Cricetulus griseus: one gene and its partner. The protein of the gene in region 2 interacts with the protein of the main gene of each other region in a biochemical or structural test. Links are inferred from orthologs where the notes say so. Each region holds a gene or a part of one and is shown on either strand. Other genes may lie near its edges. The genes, in order: Pkp1 and desmoglein-1-alpha.

The links.
Region 1: the proteins of desmoglein-1-alpha (region 2) and Pkp1 form a complex in vitro, tested with the Homo sapiens proteins (2 studies listed by BioGRID and IntAct). The link is inferred for Cricetulus griseus from reciprocal best matches to the Homo sapiens genes DSG1 and PKP1.

The regions. Positions count from the first base shown.
Region 1 is NC_048598.1:53,356,947-53,360,769, reverse strand, and holds part of Pkp1 (plakophilin-1), read right to left. Parts: intron 263-3,823; coding exon 156-262; intron 1-155. UniProt on the Homo sapiens protein: A component of desmosome cell-cell junctions which are required for positive regulation of cellular adhesion.
Region 2 is NC_048595.1:216,590,651-216,594,473, forward strand, and holds part of desmoglein-1-alpha, read right to left. Parts: intron 3,643-3,823; coding exon 3,511-3,642; intron 2,182-3,510; coding exon 2,026-2,181; intron 303-2,025; coding exon 158-302; intron 1-157. UniProt on the Homo sapiens protein: Component of intercellular desmosome junctions. Involved in the interaction of plaque proteins and intermediate filaments mediating cell-cell adhesion.

The DNA of each region.
Region 1 (3,823 bases), on a different chromosome or scaffold from region 2:
CCAAGCTAATAGACCTGGTCAGACCTGCAGCCCTCATTTACTGACTGGAGTCTACATTTCTCTTTTTGAGCAACCAGTGAAAGCTTTCTGTTTCGGGAACCCCAGACCATGCCCACAGACATTCTAGATCTTTCTGAATAGAAGCAGTTTCTTACCGGATAGCCCCACGAGCCATTCCCCGCCTGGAACTTGGAGAAGTAGCTGCTTCTGCTCGTGGTCCCGTAGTTGTTGTAATTGTCAGCCAGCCCATCATACATGGAGCCTGGAGGGCAGAGTAGGGAGGTTAGGCAGGGATGACTATCAGCTTCACCCCTCCCTGCTCCTGCGCTATCACCCACATCCAGGTCCACCACCACTGTGGAGGGAAGCAGTCTGAGTTCCTGGGGGAAGGGGTGGAGAATGGCTGGTCATCTCTTGGCCATGCCCATCCCTCTCCATTTCCTCCACAGCCAGGGCCCAGCAAAGAGCCACCAGACTGCCACAGGGCAGCTCTTAGACCCCTTGGAAGACATTGACACCTACAGGTCACGAGCTGGCCTGGAGAGCCTTGGAGAACAGCAGCTCCTGCACAGGGAATCACCAGCCCATGATCCACAAAGATGAGATCCCCACTCGGGGAAGGAAGACAGGATCTCAACATTCCAGGTCCAGACTCCCAAGGTTAGAGCAGCCACACAGCAGTGCACACTGTAGAGTCTGCGTCTGTCAGGACTGTGAATTCCAACCCAAGCCCAGCCTCCACAGGTGATCAGGTAGCCTGCCCCTTCCTTCTCTTCTGAGGTCCTCCCGCTGGCAAAGGGGGAACAATGATCAACCTCAAAGGCCCAGTGTGGATTAATTAATGTTTGTACACTGCTTGGAGACCCACAAATGACAGGCTCTGCAGGAGGACAGAGTGTCATTACGGTTATTAGTGGCAAAGTGGATTTGAATCACAAAAAGCAGGCTGGATTTAAGGTTCATGGCAGGGACCCATCTTCCTTCTCTCTTTCACAGAATGGCAGAGAGTGGGGAGGCCTACAGCATTGTCCCAACTTCAAGCAAGTTGGTCTGTTTGAGGTCCTAACATCATGAAACAGGGCTGTCAGTGACATGTCACTCCCCATGCTGAATCTGTGTTCTCTTCTGGGCTAAAGCCATCTTTCAAAGCCAGACTCAAGACTTCATCTCCTTCAGGAACCCCTTACTGACCAGCCCCACTTAAGGCAATCTCTCTAGTCTCTGCTATATTGTGCTTTTGTACCCCAAGTCGTGTGCCACCTGGCGTCCATATTTCCTTGGCTACATTGGGAACACCATTAAAAAATATGCCATGGTTCTCTGGCCTGCATATCCATATCAAGGCTTGCTCACTCTTATTAAATGTGGCCTCTGGGTGAGCAGACAGAACCTTCTTAGTGGGATATGCACCCTTTTCCTCTGAATTGATGCTTGGAACACCCCCCCCATCAGAAAGCCTGTCTAAAGGGGAGAGGGGCTGAACCTTTACCTCCCTTAAATCCATTAACCCTTACACTTCTGCCAAACCCACACAGTTCTAGGTCATTTCCTGGGAACCAAATTGTCTGATAGGTACTTCAGAATCAGGCCAGCATCTTGCTCAGGGCCATCTCCTCTGTCCAATGCCAGACCCACAACAAGAGGCATTTCCCTTGATTCCCACTCCTCATCTTGGAGGGTGAGCAGGATTTAGAGATATTGGCTGTGGCAGTCATAGTTTGCTCCAGAAGTCTAACTGTGCCTGGCCCACAAGTTCTCCCTGGGTCTCAGCTATTTTTCTGTAAAAAGCAGTTTCTCTGTATCCTAAATGGTCCATGCACTCCCAGAGCTCCATGGCAGGCAACTATGACTGACCCTGCCTCCTCTGCCTCTTGCCTCAGGGACATTCCCATCTATAGATTCCAGAATCCCACATTGTAGGGCCCAGGACCAGGCTTTCCCCTAAAAGTGAAGTCCTAGAATTCTGCCTGGTCCAAAGAGCCTCTGATTTACTCCCAGCCCTCTGCTGGTACGGTAAATTTGCTCTTGACCCTGTCCAAACTGCAGCTGCTCCTCTGGACAGACTGTGTTTTCATAAGGAACAGGAAAAATCCTGTGACTTGGTCACCAGAGAAGGGGCCGCAGCCAGGCAGAGACATCATCAGGACTCCAAGGAACTGACATCTAGGTCTCACCCGCCTTGATCCAGCCCATGTCCGTCATCTCTTCTAAAGCTTGGCAGGCCAGTGTCTGCTTGGCTCTCATCTCTTGAGCAGGCATTTCTCCCCAAAGGGCAGGTATGGGTCAGCCAGCTACTTCCAGATGGAAACTCTGGGGTGGTGACAGATACTTCAACAAGGCCTCAGGGAAGCCTCCTACTTTAAAATCATCTCCTGGAGGCTCCCACCCAGGCCTCCACCCTGGTGAGAGGGAATCTACCAGCGTGCCCTGACACCCACAGGTCAGATAAACCATCTCCCCTTTCCATGCCCTTCACCACCCTCGCTGCCCTCTCGTACATTCTCCAGGAGAAGTAGGAACTGTGCCATAGAGGCAGAAATTAACACAGGGACAGATGGACAGATGGAAGCAGAGAATGAAATACTGTATAATTCCCAGAGCTCATCCCCACGGCGACTCAGGTAAAAACAGCTCTGAGCTGTAACTCTCATTTGGTTGGTTGCTTCCAGGCAACTTCTGAAGGTATCCTCCAAAACCTATCTGCAATTCGGGAGCCGCTTGGCTCCCTGTGAGAGTAAGGCAGCCATTATGCCAGCCAGAACTGCTTTTCTGGCAGAAGGTAGGCGTACTGCTGCAGGAATGGCAAAGGTGGGGAGGAATGGAGACTTGTGACACATTCCGAATCACACCTAGCAGCAGTCAGGGAGAGAGGTGAGCTCTCTCTGTAACAGCGCTGTTCTCACACAGAAACCACTCCCTCTCTCCTGACCCCAGGTGATCTGGATGGTAAGCCATGTCCTCTAAAAAACAAGTTCAACAGCAAGAACATGGAGCATTTCAGCAAGTGTAACCATGACAGCTCACTCTCCACCTGGTCTTTCTACTTCTACAAAACTTACTTCTGGGAAGCCTTCCGTGGCTAGCCATACTTGAAGCCTTTCTTGGCTAGCCATACTTGCATCTGCTTCATTTCCAGCTCGTGCCTGTACTCTCTCTTCCATTGGGCACGTGGGCACTTTGCAGAGCCAGGATCATAGCTCCTCTTTCCTAGGGATCCTGTACTAGGCACTGCTCTATCTGTGACTTGGCCTAATTGGCCTAAGCTGGATATTTTGGTACTATTTTTCTTTCCTGTCCAGTCCCGTGGGAAAGGTACTCTGGTCTGTATGGGCTCAACACCTCCATTTAATGTCAAATGGAATTAAAGTCTTAGAATTCTATCAGCCAGGACCTGATAGTAGTGTTATTTGGAACAAATAACATGGGCTGCATGAAATTACAGATGCTCAAGCCCACCTCCTTCAGAAGGATTCTCTTTCCTGTGGGTGAGGGTTAAGGGAGAAGTCTGAACATCCAGTTTACCCCTCAGAATCATGTTGTCCTTTCCAACAAGAGTCTGCCTTCCCACTGTTCTTTCTGTAGGTGCATTGGCTATGAACAAACAAGATGGTGACTTCTCAGTGAAGCTGGCAGCCATCTCAACTTGGGTATCATCACTGGGACACACATCTACACACAGATGCCTACACACAGAACTCCGACATCTTAGAACATCGATGCATTCCCGTTCTAAAAGCAGTGTGAGTTTCTTGCCTCAGTCCGTTCCAATGTAGAATTTCATAGGTGAAACCATGTCAGTCTACTGTACTGAGGACAGTTGTCC
Region 2 (3,823 bases):
ACTCCTGGACTGACACTGGAGCTTTTTCCTGAGTTGTTGGTTCTGGATGCTTTCTACCTCCCAGTTGATGTTTACCTTGACACTGCTCAGCCCAGTTGCCTAGCAACAGTAATTTAGTCATCAACACAATGTTTCTTTAGTTGTACAGGTGACTCACTTGCATTAGAATTTTCTTCTATTTGTCCTGTAAATGTAGTCATGGAAAACACAGGAGGGTTGTCATTTATATCCATAACCCTGACTCTAAGCTCCAGTGGGTTCTCCAAATCTTGACCTTGTGCATTCAATGCTCGGCAGTAGATCTAGATATGAAAGAAAAGGATCCCTGGTGAGTTACACATTTGTAAGTTCTTACAGGTGGAGGTATTGTCTTGGTAACATGTAGGATTAAGGAATACCATATTATTATTCCCCATTAAAATATAGACATGAACAACACACATAATCAGTAAGAAAAGGCAAACAAGAGCATAAAATGCCAGTTTATAAAGGTAAACTGATGCATTAGATAAAGGAAATGTTGCAGCTTCTATGTTTAAAATCAAGAGAAAGAGTACCAGGGGAAGGACACCAGAGAACACGGCCAGCAAGAATCAGAGGAGCACTTTGAAAACAATGTGGCATTCTTAAGTGCTGGGGCGGTTGTTTGTTTTATTATTACTGCTTCCCTTGAGAAGACCTATAATGTGTATTATTTCACAGAGGCCATCTCTGTGTAACAGTGAATTGTGTACTGCTTTGCTGATTTATTGAATTTGTAGGGAGACACTGTGGAGGGCAGAAGTCAAGAATACAGATATGAAATTGGAGGCTCAGGAATTAAAGTAGTTCTAGGAATGCAGATGTGCAGTGTGAATTAACACAGCAAGGACTAAACAATATTTGGAGGTAGTTTGAAATATTATATCTTATCAAGGCTGGAGACTGAATCTAGTCTTTTACACACAATAAAAAATGCTTGGCCACTAGGTTAAATCCTCAGATGTTTGATGAGATTTTAATTGAAGAGATCACAAGTTCATTAGAAGATTATCATTATCATTATTATTGGTTTTTTGAGATAGGGTTTCTCTGTGTAGTTCTGGTTGTCCGGGAACTTGTTTTGTAGACCAGGCTGGCCTCGAACTCACAGAGATCTGCCTGCCTCCACATCCCAAGTGCTGGGATTAAAGACATGCATCACTACCGCCCAGCTTATTTTATTTTTTTTCTTGATTAAGAAGTGTTAGCTATGACCATAGAGGGAAATGAAGGCAGTGAATGACTAAGGAGAATAGAAGGGGGAAAGGCGATGACAGGATAATGCTCTTCAAGAGACAAGTAACAACAGGGTGACAGACATGTCATGGGAAAGTTCCGGGAAAGCAAAAATTGATCATGCTTTTAGAAGCAGTAAGAAATGTATCTGAGTGAGAAGTGAATGTTCTGTGTGTATGTATGGGAGGTGTCAGGACAGGGGATCGTGGCTTGGTTTGGAGGTGAGATGCTTAAGGAGAAGTGAGGTGAGACATTAAAAGACAGGCTGCTTAAGTTGTGTGACAACTTCTACAAGAAAAGGAGACTGGGGGTGGGGAGGACAGAGAGAGACTAAGGATGAGTGAGTTTTCAAATTTCTTTTAGGGCTCAGATGATCTTGAACAGTGTAACGTTATGATGAAGTATGTCCATATGGAACAAATAGCCTCCAGGAGCTCCAGGCTTATCACTTGGCACTGGAGTTAAAAGGAAGCATCAATTTCCACGGATTTTCTTTTTTAAGATAGAACAAAAGCTAAAGATTTACCCTTCCAAGCAAATAATCTAATTTGTCATGGAGCTGATGTTAATTAGCATTTTTTTGCTAGCACATAAAGAAAATGTTTCTATATTATTATTTTTTATCTATTGGGGTACCAGTGAATTCAGAAAGATTTGAATCTCAGAAAGCCAGATTTGGGGAGTCTTGAAATCAAATCTAGTATGGTCTAAAATTTTTCTAAGAATAATTTACATCTGCATACAGATGTTGACACAAAGCCCACTTACAATAAAAAAGGGGGTGACTTCCCGATCAACGATGGATGTTATATTAATTTCACCAGTTTTTTGATTAATAACGAAGATTCCATAAGGTGGCTGGTCAATTCCTACTCCAGAGATGCGGTACGTCACTTGCTGGTTTGCGGCACAGTCAGAATGAATCTGTACAAAGACACAGGAGAAGATGTTACAGGAGCCATGTGGACATCCACATGTGACATATGACAATGTTTTCCTTGAGAATTGTTGAATGTGCCATTTGTGGTATCACTTGGGAAGTGTTAAAAACAGGGAAATGATCTTTAGTAATAGGTATGTGGTCAGTGTGCATTCTTAATGGTAAATAGCAATGTAATGAGATAATCCCATTTCTATGTCTTTTTTTATTTTGTTTGTTTATCTTTGTTTTAGTTTTTTTAAGACAGGGTTTCTCTGTCTTAAACAGCCCTGGCTGTCCTGGAACTTGCTTTGTAGACCAGGCTGGCCTTGTACTCACAGAGATGTGTCTGCCTCTAACTCTCGAGTGCTGTGCAAAAGGAGTGCCCCACTATGCCAGCCCTATTTCTATGTCTACCAAACAATAAAGAAACAAATGCTACTCTAAGAAGTCTTTATAGCTGCTGTGCATAGATCCCATAATCATTAAACATTTATAATTTTATTTTTGTATTAGTTTTAGATTCTATTCTAGCTTCGTCCAGGGTAGGTTATTTCTTGCTTTCTTGGAGAGTTTTATATCAAATATATATTATTTTATAATGTTGATTTTTAAATCAAAAACAACTTTAAAAATACTAAGATTCAAAAAATGTTTAAGTAGATTTTTGTAGTAACAAATTATTTGAAACTTTTAATTCTGAAAGTGGTAAAGAAAAGGAAAGAGCCCACTCTAATAAAAGATTATAAAGTAAAAAAAATTGTAGAGTCTAGCTTTTTGTCCATGTAAATATCATATGAATATAAGTAAATCTTACAAGGCAGTTTCCATATCCATCTGTGTGAATGCTTGTACTTGTATCTGTGTATATCTCTCTTTATATGTCGATGGGAGTGAATCTGTGTGTGTGTAGGGAATAACTTCCTGAGTTTGTGCTTTTGTGTATGAAGAAAGAAAAAACCAGAGGAATTTGAGGTTATGAATGAGGCATGCTTTGAACCTTATATATATAGACAAATAGAAGTTAAGTCAAAGCAGAGAGAGCACGTACTCTCAGCATGCTGAACTCTATCTGTAAACCATGGTTGTTTTGGAGTATAGCATAACAATTATTCATGTGGACTACTACCAATGAGTTGAGACAATGTTTAGTTGCTAATCCAAGTACACAACTTCATTGGTTTATCCCTTTAGGAATTTTAGTTTTCATAATTTGAATGGGGAGGTGCTGTTAGGTCCCATGTGTGCACAAAGCACATAAAAGCTGGGCCCTTCCAGAACTGTGACCCTGTCTAGTGTGCTGTTTAGATCCATGCTTTGGGGTTGACACTTACTTTGGCAATAGGGTTTCTTTTTGAGTTGTCTTCACCTTCCCGACAAGCTGCAGCAAACTTAATCCACTCACGTTTCTGCCTTCTGATGGTGTGCCAACTGATGGTACCATTTTTGGCGTTATGGTCTCTTACCTTAAATAGGTAAAATACAGTGTCCATTAACTATTAACTTACTCTTACTGGTATTCAACTGAAGATTCGGGGGGGAAGAGTAATTATGTCAGGAAGAAAAGATGGTAAAATGGAAAATTAAGAATTCTGATAATATTAACATTTACAATTGTAACAATGTAGTAATTTTGTATTTAGAAGA